2 linked regions of the Astyanax mexicanus genome follow. The protein of the gene in region 2 purifies or fractionates together with the protein of the main gene of each other region. This does not show direct contact. Links are inferred from orthologs where the notes say so. Each region holds a gene or a part of one and is shown on either strand. Other genes may lie near its edges.

Evidence for each region. Proteins that work in one complex are often made in the same cells at the same time.
Region 1: the proteins of ncl (region 2) and dhx9 purify together in Homo sapiens (affinity purification with western blotting; 3 studies listed by BioGRID, with this or other methods). This does not show direct contact. The link is inferred for Astyanax mexicanus from reciprocal best matches to the Homo sapiens genes NCL and DHX9.

What each region holds. Positions count from the first base shown.
Region 1 is NC_064415.1:50,994,943-51,002,776, reverse strand, and holds the start of dhx9 (ATP-dependent RNA helicase A), read right to left. Parts: upstream 3,107-7,834; 5' UTR 2,960-3,106; intron 1,470-2,959; 5' UTR 1,456-1,469; coding exon 1,345-1,455; intron 1,099-1,344; coding exon 958-1,098; intron 142-957; coding exon 33-141; intron 1-32. Other genes in the region: probable RNA-binding protein 46, read left to right, coding at 5,997-6,099, 6,323-6,660. UniProt on the Homo sapiens protein: Multifunctional ATP-dependent nucleic acid helicase that unwinds DNA and RNA in a 3' to 5' direction and that plays important roles in many processes, such as DNA replication, transcriptional activation, post-transcriptional RNA regulation, mRNA translation and RNA-mediated gene silencing.
Region 2 is NC_064423.1:26,065,045-26,072,292, reverse strand, and holds the start of ncl (nucleolin), read right to left. Parts: upstream 3,110-7,248; 5' UTR 2,984-3,109; coding exon 2,966-2,983; intron 492-2,965; coding exon 390-491; intron 272-389; coding exon 127-271; intron 1-126. UniProt on the Homo sapiens protein: Nucleolin is the major nucleolar protein of growing eukaryotic cells. It is found associated with intranucleolar chromatin and pre-ribosomal particles. It induces chromatin decondensation by binding to histone H1.

The sequences.
Region 1 (7,834 bases), on a different chromosome or scaffold from region 2:
TGGTAAAGGCAACTAAAATTAAGTAGCCATACCTGACTCGTTCTTCACAACTAAATGTGGTGGTAAGGGGCCATTTGGTGGGAGACTTCCAAACCCACCACCTTCTGAACTGCTGCAATCAGGTACATCTGGAACACTGGCCTGGTAACAGGAGGGATGACATCAAAATATATAAATATATTAAAGAATAGGAATTGAGACACCTATATAGTCTTAACAGCATTTACAAATGCAATTTTTTTGCCAATTTTTAAGTTATTTTACATTGCCAAGTGTAATGACAACATTTATTTCAACTTTATTAATGCAAATATTCAGCAGTAACACCGACATTAGTGCTTGGCTGTATGACCAAAAATGTATATCACAGTATTTTTCAAGATTCTGACGATTTAACAAATAAATTAAATTCTGTGTACATTATCATCATTCTTCAAGCTGCAGTATTATTATATTTAAAATGGCTATATTAACAGTTCTTGAAGCTTTTTTTTCCACCTCATATCCAAAGTTTTAGGGAGTTTTATCACTTGTGCTGAATAAATTATTCTGTACCCACAACCGATTTTGGGCTCCTCTGGGGGACGAGAGAAACTTTTTTCCAAGCTGTGGATCGGTTGCTCAATTCCATTCCTCTCTTTTTTGAGTAAATAATTGCTGTTTGCTGTTGTTTTCTTATTTTACTCAGACAAAAACACTGCTATTGCAAGGAACAGCAACAGGAGCTCCTTAGATAAAGTGCTGTTCTCATGTTTTTCCAGAGAGGACAGAGCGTTTGACTCGACAGAGCTGAGCTACCATTAACCCAGTGTGTTAGCTTGTTATGCTAACTGGCTAGGTTAGTTAGCGGGTCGTATCTGCTTTTTTGCCAGTGCCTAGTGGTATGTAAAAAGCGCATATCGGCAAACCAGTATACTGTCCAGCACAAACTGACATGGTTAACAAAATCATACTTACCCCTAAAGCAGGGACTTCAGAAGCACTCATCTCACCAATACGGACAAGATAATTCACAAAGTCCCTGGCAGCATTAGACTGGGCATCTTTCTTGTTGGTGGAGTTTCCCATTCCAGTGTAATTAAAACCATCAACACGTACCTAAATGAGGCACAAAAAAAAGAGAAAAAAAAAATGTTGATCTTTGAAACATTCTAAACGTGTAATCTCATTACATTATCATTATGTCCGTAGCATAAAATGCTTTTTATAGTTTAACAATTATTTCTGAGACAATATAATTCACAATATAATTATGGTGACAGGCCTGCAAGAGAATAGACATAATAAGTATTAAGTACAGAGTTGCTATAACAGTCAATGTGTAACAGGTATCGTGTAGTTTACCTCACACAGGAACTTTTGTCTGTTTTTATTCCCAGCTGCTCGTATGTCATAGTTTGGTGTTAATTTTTTCTTTCCGCACCAGGCATACAGATAGTTTTTGATGTCTGCCATTGTTGAGAGTCCCCCTGGAAACATACAAAAGATATCATTTTAGATATCATTCACAAAACTTAGATAAACTATGCTGTCTGGAAAAAAATAAATGACACCTCCTACAAATAGGTAGGAACTTCCCAATGGATAATTACTACATGGGTGATTATGTCAGTAGGTTCTTATTTGTTGAACAACCGTGGTTATGCAGTGGTCCCAATCTCTTATCATCAATACAAGATCTTCTGGAAAAACAAATGCAACTCAAATAAACAAATAGTAAATGTTGTGACATTACAGAAGTTTGTGGAAAGATACCAAAAGTTTGGACATGTTATCATACAATGTTTTTCTTTACTTCTGTATTTCATTTATTTTTTACATTGTAGATTAATATTAAATACATGAAAACATTTAAGGGACATATATGGAATTACGAAGTAATTAAAAAACGTGTCTTCCACAATCCCCTGACCAAAACCTGATGAACTGAGATGGTGATTTGAGGTGATTTGGGATGAGCTGGAGCTTCACAGCCAGCGTGAAGGAAAAGCAGCAACTATTGTGCAGCAACTATTGTTCAGCACCTCTAGGAACTCCTTTAAGACGCTAAAAAAAACTATTCCAGATGACTCTCCCTCATGAAGTAGCTGAGATTAAAATTCCAAGAGTGTGCAGATCTGTCTTAAATTTTATAAATAAAAAATAAATCATAAATTTGATACTTAGGAGAATCTAAAGTATAAAACATTTTATAGTTGTTTAACACTATTTGTTTACAAAATAATTTTGCAGGCGTTCCAGTATAGCTTTAATACAGTTTTTAATATTAATTTTTCAATGTACAAAAAAAAAAAACGAACTGAATGAGAAAAGGTCTCGAAACTTTTAGCTAGGTCTTAACCAGCTAACGTTAGGTTAACTACGTTAGCTAGCCTAGCGTAGCTAGAACATCTCAGCCAGATACGTTTGGGTTTGCTAGCTTAGCTAGTTAACTAGCTAGTAAGATTAATGGTGTTCTGTCGATTTAGGGTAAAGCTGCCCAAATGAAGGATACTTCCATTGGCTAAACAAAAATCACAAAAAATGATTTAAATCACTTATCAGGAGAAATTGTCTTGAAAAAAAACTCACATAAAAACGTTAACATTTCTAAATCGATGTATGCGCAGAACAGAAAGTAACACATTTTGATGGGTAAAAGAACTCGACAAAACACCGGCTAACATAATAGCAGTATATAACTCAAAACCACAGCACTGTACTGTACTAACTGCAGAAATAGCACGATGATGAAGTCGCGCAATATAGGTTAACTAATACTTGCAGGACCACCAGTAAATAAACAATAAAAACATCATTAACTAACACTAGCTAGGTAACTGTATAAGAAAGAACAGCGCTTGCTAAAGAGCTAAAGCTAACCACAGAACACAGTGCAGACAGACGGAGTGTACTGTACTGTTTACGGTGCTGGCAATACTCAACACGCAGTCAGAACTAGTTCCGCCGGATAACTCACCTCCTCAGCAGGTATCTTGCTGAAACACAGAGCGGAAAATTAACACAAAATAGCTGAGAAAGGTCGCTAATCTCAGCGCTGCGGTGCAGGGCGCAGCGTCGTCAGCGGGCCAGACATGCGCAGTACAGCTCCACTTTGTAATGAGAAACATAGTACGCATGCGCAGTAAAAATTCCTGGCTAGATCAGTAAAAGGCTGCGAGCCACTAGAGGAAGCCCGCGATAGAGAACCCATATTAAATAGAGTGAATTAATTTATGAGATTAAAACTGATATAAACTTTTCAATCTGAATTTTGAAGCTATATCTAAATTCAATTTACTTAACATTTACCAAGATGGATTCACATATTTGAATTTTTGTTTTTGATTAGATTTTTGTGTTTTAAACTAACTTCTGAGGAGGTAAAATTTGCTGTTGAAAAAAAAAACAATGTGAATTAATTAATTAATTATTGAATAATTTAAAAAAATCTATATCCATACATTTTCAGATAAAAAAAATCAGTTTTTTTTTCTGATTTTAAAAAGATCCACTTTTATTTTTTTTTCTAATTGAAATCTCAGTCACTCAAGTTTACTTTTTCCTGGGGACCCTGGGTGTTTGAGCTATGGATTAAATTCTTAATTCTGAATTTTGAATCAGATAGATCTTAAATTTTAAAAATAAAAATAAATATTTCACGTTGATTAAAGGTCAAGTAAACCAAATTCAGATATACAAAATTTAGACGTGAATTATGTCATCCTTTAAGCTCCATATGAATGAAGCTAGATTGCTAAAAGTCTTATTTAAAATAGAAACTATTTAAACTTTTAGTTTCTAGTCACATTTTTTTAGACTAGTTAATTATTATAATTTCTATAATTTGATGTACAAGCTCAGTATACATTACTGTAAAAACTCTTATTTGAGATATCAGCTTTAAATGTTTTACTAGTGATAATATCATATCTATGGATCTATACATTTATTCTTACTAGTTATACTTTATGTTACAATTAATTTACATGGTCTCAGAGCTTTATGCTAGACATATTACTACATTTAATTATTATTCATTATTTACTAGAAAAAAAAATACTAGAAATACAGTTACAGATATCTATAATATCTATAGTAAAAATACTATAATAGAATAGAATAATCTGATATTCCTATAATTAAACGTTTAGAACATGTAAACAATTATTATTATTATTATTATTATTATTATTATTATTATTATTATTATTATTATTATTATTATTATTATTTCTACAATGCAAGAACACAGTACAGGCTATAATATTAGAATATAAACGTATATAAGCATGTAATATGTGTTGGTAAGACTGCAGGTGTGCCGCTGGTTTTAATATTCAGTTAATTTAGTTGAACCTGATTTGCTGGCTGATCTGGAGGACTTTAGTTAGTTAAGGTTTATAGTTACCAGGGGGATCTCAGCTTTAAACCTACAGAAACTGGAGAACAGGTAGCCCAGATTACTAGTTAGCTACCAAATAACCAAAAAATAATAATTAGCTACTTGTTTAGGGAAAAAGGCGAATTTCTGCGCCGCCTACTTTTTTCTATAAAGTTTTTTTTATAGCTAAAAGCTAAAAAACTAATGCTAGGTTCGCTAAACTGATCATCAAAATCATTAAGTGGCTTAGCTAATATTGTTTCAAATAAAGAACATTTTATTGGGTATCTATAATCTCCTAACTGCCTGAATTTATGTTTCTTGGTGAGTTGGATAACCTGTGGTGTCGTATTTCTGAATATTATAGTTAGCTAGGTGATCAGGTAGGTTACCTAGTGCCTGACGTTAGCTGGCTAACTAGTTAGGAGAACTGGCTAGGCTGGTTAGCTTTAGGTTACCTAGTGAACGAGCGTTAGCCTAGCTAGCTAGCGTTGCTAAATTACCTCAGCTTAGCCAACAGCGGTGCTTGGCGGCTAAGGGCGACACTGCTGAACATTTTTTAGTCAATTTTATGAAATAATTGGTGGATTTAAACATGTCTAAGGGAGAGTGGGGTTAGATGAGCCAGTTTTTACTTAGTAAAAGTGAGTTTAAAGGAAGGCCATGACTGTTATGCTTCCAACTAAAATATATATATAAGTTATTATTATAGCTCATTATTTTATTATATAAACTACGGACAACATTTCTCCCAAATTCCAAATAAAAAAAAAATTATAGCATTTATTTGCAGAAAATGCGAAATGCCTGAAATAACAAAAAAAGATGCAGAGCTTTTAGACCCCAAAAATGCAAAGAAAAAGAGTTCAGAAATCAATATTTGGCGAATAACCCTGGTTTTTAATTACAGTTTTCATGCATCTTGGCATGTTCTCCTCTCAAGCAGTTCAGATGGCTTGTGATTATCAATTGCTTAATGCATCATCCTATTAAAAAAATTGATTTTAATGTTTTTTATATACTGACAAGGGTGGTAAACTTTATTTTTCCACAGCATGTTAAATTTACTTTGTACAGGAGTATTTATTAGGTATTACTAATGTGGAATTAACTTTAGCCATGACTACATCAGATAAATCAGATAAATAATAAGATACCACAGCTACAGTTATTTACATATCCATTTTTATGTCATCTACTTAATTAAAAGGAAAAATAAGCTGGGTACTTGATTTGAGTTAACAAATATCTGTTTTACAAAGGATCTAGATAGTTGTATTAAATGAATACATGTTTGTATAATGCATTGACATTTATAAAGTTGAAAAGTAATTTCAGAATCTATGAAACAAAGCTCTTACCTTGCCGATACAGTTTAATATTGTCTGTCATTATGGTTATTTGATTATATTTAATCAGATGTAGGTTTGTTAAAACTGTAAGAACTCATAACTCTTATTATAGTTTATTTGTATTGTTGGTTCTTAAATGGATGTTTACCTATTTGATATTAAACTATTAAAAATGATTATGAGTGCTTAAGTACTGTGTGTACTTAATTGACGTTTCTGTTGTATTTTCTAAGGTGCTAGGGGAAGAAGGCTGTGTTTGTCATCTTCACCAAGACATTAAGATGGAAAGCCCAAAGATAGCTAATCTTCTGGCCCTAATGGATAAAACAGGTTACGGTATGGTTCAAGAAAATGGTCAACGGAAATTTGGGGGTCCACCACCAGGTAAGAATTTAATGATTTTTAGTAACCTAAAAAATAAAAATAAATAAATAAAACCTCTTGATGTGGGATTAAGAACAGGAGTTAGCTCGTTTGCACCTGTGGTTAAATGTTGAGTTACTAGCCTTTGCTTTCAAATGCAATATATTAATATGTATAACATTCCTAAAATATTTTTTACTATTCAAATGTCTCATATGAACAAAAATATGATTCTGTGTTCTAGACTGGGAAGGTCCCCCTCCTCCGAGAGGCTGTGAGATTTTTGTGGGGAAAATTCCCAGGGACATGTATGAAGACGAGCTGGTGCCTTTGTTTGAACGTGCAGGTTGTATCTATGAGTTCCGCTTGATGATGGAGTTTAGCGGGGAAAACCGTGGCTATGCCTTTGTCAGGTACACCACTCCAGAAGCTGCGCAGCAAGCCATTTATCTGCTTGACCACTATGAGATCCGTCCCGGGAAGTTTATAGGAGTGTGTGTGAGTCTAAACAACTGTCGGCTCTTCATTGGGTCCATTCCAAAAGACATGAAGAAGGAGGAGATACAAGAGGAAATGATGAAGGTCAGTGATTTAGAAGTTAGGAGAGAGAGCTTTGGTTTTATTTATCTATGGTAAATATGCAATCATGTATGGATTATAGTTCATTGTTTAAAGTTAAAATGTTACCCATCATAATTTTGGAGAAAACAGAGTTTTAGTTCAGTACTTGAAAACCACAAGCCATTCTATTTTTTCTCTATTCCATTTTTTTAAAAAGAGGATTACCAGATCCTACAATCTTGTATGTTTTTGGGTACATGCTTTATTGCCACTAATGATGCACTGTAATGGAAATTTGTCTGCCTGAACATGTCTGAAATTGAACAAAATACCTAATTCCCTTTTTATAGGTTTATATGTATATGTTTTGCCACTATTCTCAAAAGGCTAAATTTATTTTATAGATACTTTTCAGAAAAAAGATAATTAAAACGCTTTAACATCCTAGCAGAGACACTTTGATGTCTTTTCTGAAAGTAAAGCAATCTAAAGGAAACACTGCAATATGACCTACAATAAATGAGCTATTGTTTGCTATAAATTATTCAGTACTTTTAGTTTTAGTTTTGGTTGCCAGTATTTGGTGCATTAATATTTACCTCTATTTGTTTGTTTGTCATATCTCACATCGATCTCCTGTAAAGTGCTTTGTAAGCTTCTTTGAGTGTAATAAATAGAAAGTGGGCTTCGTTTTTTTGCCTCATTAGCTTTCCGAAAATACAGATTTAAGCAAGATAAATCTTAACTTGCTATAGATAAACAATGTCATGTAAAACAGAACAGTTTAAGGTGAATATTTTCATTTCAGCTGTTAGCTTGAAAACTTGCACTGGACTTATTGCGAAGGGGGGTGTTTAAGAGATTTGATGGTTTTAGTAAAAAACTACTGTACAATTTGGCTGTACAATGATTTAATATCAGTATATATCACAATATCAAATATTTCAATAAAGGTGATATGATTTGTAAAAACATTTCCGATATTTCAGTATGCATTTTTACTGCATATAGTCATGAATTGATGCTCATTACAGGGCACATTACAATTTCAAATGATTTTTTTTGTTTGTTTATAGTGATATTGGAATTGCAATTTAGCATTTAACATTAAGAAATATTTATTATAATATACTTGTTGTCAATTTCGCCCATTCCTACTGAAGATAGGAATGTTTATGAAAACAATGTATAGACT
Region 2 (7,248 bases):
TATATATATATATAGCATTAGCACAAATGATGACAAACTTTACGCTTCTGCAGAGATTACTGGATAATTTCTTACAATCATGCAAGTATCGTTAAGCAAATCAATCATTCACGTAAAAACACTAACCAGACTCTTCATCATCATCATCATCATCATCTTCGTCGTCGTCATCATCATCCTCACTTTCTTCCTTGGCAACAACTTTACCGTTTTTTACTGCCTTTGCTGGAGTTGCTACAGGTTTCTTGGCAACTGCTTTGACTGGTGGTGCCTGTAGCAAAAAAAATAAAATTAAAATATAATAATAATAATAATAATAATAATAAATAATAATAATCAAGCCAATAAAAAATATTTAAACAAAAAGTAACTTAAAAATAAGACCTTACCTCTTCCTCATCTTCATCACTGTCCTCCTCCTCACTGGACTCTTCAACTTCTTTTGGGGGTGGGGGTGCCTTTTTCTTCTGTGGCACTTCTTTTTTAGCTGCCTGCAAAACATTATGGAATGGAGGCACATGGAAGAAAAGGTTAATCAAAGTGCCAAAAAAAATACAAAATTGTGCAGAAAAGATGAGGAAGTGAGTAAAAATGAGATTCAGTAAAATCACCTATTTAAAGTGGTAACTTTACTAAAGGATTAGAAATTAGAAGTGTGCACCATCATATCAATATTTTTAAAAAGCACTCCATTTTATATTAGTTTTTTTCTGTATTAACTTAATTGTTAGCAGTTTACATGAACCAAATATACTGCTTTTGTTTTGTGAAACATTTGTTGTGTGTTTTTACAAAATAGACATTTATAGTTTTTTTTTGGTTCCTACTGAATGAGAAATTATTATATGTATAACAAATTATGTTTTGATATTTGTTTGGTTGTAGCAGCATATTCATAAACGAATATTTAAAAAGGCAACGTTTTGTCACACTGCTAAGAAGGTCATTATCGCAAAAACATATCGCAAAAACATTTACTATGAATCGTGCTGAAACACATAAAAAGACAGTCATGTTCCTGTGAAGGAAAAGAAGATTTACTATACTATGCGAGACTAAAAGATGTGCCCCAAAACATGCAGAAGTGTCATTTATGTTCCTGCTGAGAATGAGGAATTGCTGTCTAAATCAAGAAGGGTACAAGGACATGTGCTCTAAAATAAAAGTAAAGTAACTTAAATGTGTGTAGAAAATAAGACTTGAAGCCTATACTTTGTTGGTATTGACATAATTGATTTAATCTTAAAATGTTACTCATTTAATAAAAAGTTATCTTATACAGTTTCTGTAGAAAACGAGGATCACACTGTGCTGTTTTATGCATTCATTCATTCATTCATTCTTTTAATACATACTTCACCCCATACATTTATATTTCATTCTGCACTGATTTTGGACTTGATATAACAGTCGACAAACACCAGCAGATGACATGGCTCTCAAAACAATCACTTATTGTGTAAACTTCACACCAGACCTCAAGTAGCTTGGACTGTGCGCCTCTCCACACCTCCTTCAGACTCTGGACCCTTGATTTTCAAATATGTGTCAGTTATGGTTTGGTGAGCCATGTCATCTGCTGATGTTGGTCCAACTTGTAACAGAAACAATCTTATTCAGCTTCTGTAGAAAATGAGGATCACTGTGCTTTTATTTATTCATTCTTTTATATATACATACTTTGCCCCATAGTTTAAATGAGAATAATGATAGGAATCGTCCTTAAATGTACAATAACGTCCTTGTTCATATATATTTTTTTACATTTTACACAAAGGGCGACAAAATGGGTCACTGAAGCAGGGCTACTTTAGTACAGGACCAGTTAACTAATTATTTTTATAGGTAGCTAGATCCTGGACAGACAGAAAAACAACTTAAAAATATATATAAGCGTGCATGTAAAGTAAATATATAGCTTATCTAGCTTTATTATAAGCAAGAACAATAACTACGACCTTATTTAGTCCAAAAACTAAGCTCAAGACTCGCTAATAAGCAGAATGGACGGGTCTAAAAGCCACGTGTGAGGAGGACGAACCCACGTGGGGAGCGCCAGCGCGCGGCCTCGTGCTGAAGCTAACGATGCTAAGCTAACCCAAGTGCTACAGCTAAATTAGCCTAGCTTGGCTAACTCAATGCGGCCTTTCCTGGACGGCTATGCTACGCTGTGAAAAGCTAACTGTATTCTGCACGTTTTCGAATACACCAACTAGTTACCTAGCTTAACGAATTTCCAGGAAAACTAGATTAGGAATTTTACTCTTGTTTTTTATATATAATTTATTGCTCTTAATCTTATATAAATTGCGTCCCAAATAAGCAAGAATAAAATAGATAAACACGGGTAATCTGCGGCTAGCACGTGGCTAATGCTAGCTGGCGTCTTTCAGTTTAGCTCGCCTTGCTAAACTAAGCTAACTAATCTCAGCACAGCTGCGTGCAGCTCCGCCACACTGTAGCTAAAGGCTGTATATGCTATTAAACTAGATTAACACACATTACAGACGCTGTTAAACAGTATTAAAAACCTTTCTATAGCTACCCATATAAAACCAAAAGCCCCAAATATGAGAATTAAATTGCTAATGATAAAAACGTGAGTTAACAGCAGACTGAGGGGAAGGCCATTTCAGCCCTCCAGCCTCCATTTTGCACACTGTAACTACAAGATTTATCAAGCACCCATTTTAAAATATACACCACGCACATTCTATTCTTACATATCACCGATAAACAACCCTACATCATATTTAAGGTAAAAAGCTTAGCTAGTTAATTAATAAGCGCTTGAATAAGATGTTAGTTGGGTTAGCTGGATAAGTCAGATAACTAGTTAGTTATGATACGCCAAACTGAGTACCTCATTTATTCACCACGTTTTATTATGGTTAGCTACCAGAAACAACAATACTATATTTACATACATATTAAATTAAATTAGAATACTAGTTATAACACTCACCTTCGCCAGCTTCACCATGACTGCGTGGTGTTTCGTCGAAACACGAAAAAACCCGAATAAACTGCTGTAAAGTCTGCAGTGTGCTCAGGCTGGTTCCACGTGTTTCACTCTGCAGTCGCTTCAGCTCTGAGAATGAAACTCAACACTCCGCCGCTTTTCTGTACAGGGGGATTTTTCCATTCACACCCGTATTCAGGAACCGCACCGCCCATCCTTCGTTCGGATTGGTCACTTATTCAGACTCAGAGCGACCCGCCGACAATTTCAGCTAATCACAGTGATGGAAGGCGGGATTTGTCTGAATACAGGTGCAACAAAACCACGCGTCTCCTCCCATACAAAACCATGCATATATTCAAACATACCAGTAGCAGAATGAAGAACCAAGCTAAACATAAAACATACAACATAGAAGCCCCAGTGACTAACAGTGACACGGATAACTCCCTTAGAGATGGGAGAAAAAAACTTGGGAGGAACAAAGACTCATAAGGGGGACACATCTTCCTCTTGTCGGACTACTTATAAATTAATGACAAAAATTCCTAGAAAGACCAGAGTTTACCAAGTTCCTTTGATCTTCCATAAAACTAATTCAGTTTATAATTTACTTGTATTTGCCTAGCAGCACTTGAGAACTTCTTCTAAACATGGCTATTTGGTGAATTAAATAATAGAACGATTATTTAATAGCGATCCTTTAGATTGCAGTACTGCAATACTGCAATTTCATTGAGGCGAGCAGCTTCGCCGCCCACATTTGAGCTCCCGGATTCTTCTACTCATCTTCTCCCTCTCTCTGATGTTGATTGCTAAGACTGAACATGAAAAACACGCCCCTTAATTATCATATGGAGGAAAAAAAGCAGAAATAAATGAGTGAAAAAGAATAAATAAACAAATAAATACATACATCAAAATACATTTAGAAATATTCTCATGAAAAACTATATAGGCATTAATTATATTAATTATACAATAAATCATACATAAATCAAATCAAATCAGATTTATTGTCGCATCACATACAGTGGAGAGGTGAGCTTCCACAGCAGTGGAGCTGAATCCAAGGGAACGTTTAAGCACCAGGTTATCATATTTATTTTATTTGTGCCACTTCATGTTAGGCATGTAAGGAACCACATGGGTGATTTCAGTCAGTACAAACACTCTTATGAAGCCAGGATTGCAGAGGGGGCGCTGTAGTCACCGCATAACTTCTGTGAATCAGTGGTGACAGTACCAGAGCCAGTTTCACTACAAGGTGTTGGACTTCTGACTGTTTAATATAAGCTTAATGTGGCAGGACTAATTATTTCTAATAATAATAATAATAATAATAATAATAATAATAATAATAATAATAATAATAATTTGGGGGTACCTTTTTTTGTTAATGTTTGGTAGTATTAATTTAAATATTTTAGAATTATGATTACCGGGTGGTTGATGTGAGTTAGTTATTTGGGGCTCCTATAAAAGGGCTTCTTTTTGCATGCTGCAGCGTCTGCCTTGGGTTCCCCCCTCCCCCTTCCGCTTCACCGCGTGGCTCAGAGGTATGTTTGGCTTTGTGTGTGAGGGAGAAACGCACGTGTAAGTCGGCGTTTAGTTAATTTATTTGTTTTATTTAGAGCGTTTTGTTGCTGTCTCATCCTCTGAAACTGCACTCGAGTCTGGCTTATCCCAGTTCTCAGGTAAATGCTCCGTATATGCAGCGTAATTTGGTAGTATAGCGCTGTACCCGTGAGTTACTGTTTGTTTTGGTTTCAGTTTAACTCCTCAGTGGGAATTGTTGGCGTCTGACCAATTGTAACGCTGCCTGACGGCATTTTCATCAGCTCTGTAAGTATACGAACCGCTTATCTAGTCAGGGGGTAGTAAAATGGGTTTAAACTTTATATTTATGCCTTCTGTGTTTTTAATTTAGCGGGTCCAGCCGATCTGGTGTGATTACTGGCTGTTGCATGAAGATAGCATCCTGTAACGGTGAAATAAGCTGCCGTTTTGCCTCCAGCGAAGTTTAATGAAGCTCTAAGACACTTTTATTCTCTTAAGTGTGTTGCTAACTGTGGTGGGAACCTATATCATTCTGTGCTGAATTATCGGACTGCAGCTTGTGCTCATGCACACTGTTTTATAGCTGAAAAGCTCTACTCTTACTTACTTACTATTTGTTTATAAAACTCCGTCTACTATCAGTGCAACTATATTACACCTGTGGTGTATGCATTGTTATTTTTGTGCACTGATGCTTCCTCTGTAAATTGTTTGCTGTGTGCAATAGTTAATCCAATCTAAACTGTATTTTGAGCCATTGTATTGTGGTCCTTTTTATATTTCTGATTTTATTTGGTAGTTGTGGAGTAGGTGCATGAGGGATCCAGGAGGGGAGATTTAAGTATTATTTTCACTTTGCTTTACTGGTTGGGATTTGATTTATTTTCTGGCACGGGTGACTTTTGTTGTGATTTTGATATTTTTTTTTAGTTAAATTTTGGCCCCCACCTGGTGAGCTTCAGCCCTACAACAATTAAAATGAGCTTCTTTGTAATTTCTTAACTCAAATGACCTGTGGTTGATTTTAATGTGTTTTTGAGCATTGAGTGGTTCTGGTGATATTAATATTAAAATTTTCTCTGTTTTGCAGCCGTGTGTATCTGTCTATCTATCTGTCTATCTATCTGTCTATCTATCTGTCTATCTATCTGTCTATCTATCTATTGTTTTATTTTATTTTTTATAAGCCTATTTTGATTAATAAAATCTTTTTGGTTAATTGAAATCCTTGTCTTTGTACTTTCTGGTACCCACGAACCTGAAGTGTTAAATTTCTTTGGGTGCAATTCCCAAAGTGGCGTAGTTGGCTGCACTGGTGTAAGGGTAACTAAGGTATTTACATAGTTTAGGTAAATTAATTATTTTTATTAAGTCCTACCGCTCGCTCCCCCGCCACATTAAGCTCAACCTATCACATACATATGACACTTCTGATAGGAAATTGAGGCCTCAGGAAAATCAGTTCAAGAAAAAATCCAAGGCTATATGATCCAATGGAGTTTGGTCTGATTGAGTTTGATTTAAGAGAGTTTGTTCTGTGGGAGTTTTGTCCAAGGCTTTTTGGTCTGACAGAGTTTGGTCTGAAAAAGTCAAAGTCAAAGTCAAAGTGGTCAAAGTGGTTTTTATTGTCATTTCAGCTATATACAGAGTACACAGTGAAACGAAACAACGTTCCTCCAGGGACCATGGTGCACATAAACACAGTGTAGACAGAAATAGTGCAACAGTACAAAAGTGCAGACAGACAATACAACACAATACAAACAAAGAATAATAAATAACAAGACAGTGTGCAAATTATGCAGTGTGCAAAAAGTGTGCAAAAAAGACCAGTGAGGTAGTAATTACCTCTATTACACAGTGTGCAATAGAGTCCAGTGAGGTAGTAGGGTTTTTAGTGCTTTCCATTTTCTGGGGTAAGTGGGGTAAGAGTGTGTGTGCATGTACAGAAAAACCATCAGTTCAGTCTCTGCAGTTGAGGAGTCTGATGGCTTGGGGGTAGAAGCTGTTGCAGAATCTGGTCGTGCTGGACCGGATGCTGCGGTACCTTCTTCCCGAAGGCAGGAGGGAGAACAGTCTGTGTGAAGGATGGGTGGGGTCATTCACAATGCTGGTTGCTTTGCGGATGCTGCGGGTGGTGTAAATGTCCGTGATGGAGGGGAGAGAGACGCCGGTGATCCTCTCAGCTGTCCTCACAATACGCTGGAGGGTCTTGCGGTCAGAGACGGTGCAGGTCCCAAACCAGGCAGTGATGCAGCTGCTCAGGATGCTCTCAATGGTCCCTCTATAGAAGAGTGTGAGGATGGGTGGAGGGAGAAGCTTGGTGTGAGGTAGAGCTTAGATTCTCTGCCCGAACTGAGATTTCCCACCACTTGCCTCGGTCCAGGTCAGGTCGGGTTCCAGAAAATAGTCTGTGACATAGGCATCTGCTTTGAATGCTATTTTTATTTTATATAAAGCTATGGAGTGATAATCACAATATAGCAAAGTAATCAAGTATTATTGTTAACGAAAACAAACGAAAAAAGCTAAAAGTGAAAAAAACATTTTTGTTAACTAAAACTAAGAAAAACAGTAATTAAAAGAAAAAAACATAACTAATTGAAAATGTGTTTTGTGTTTATAAAACTAACTAAAAGGAACTGAAATTACAGATAGAATACTCTTCGCTTTCGTGTTTGTTAATTTATTTATAAGAGCTGTTTCCACTTCAGCAATTTTACAGC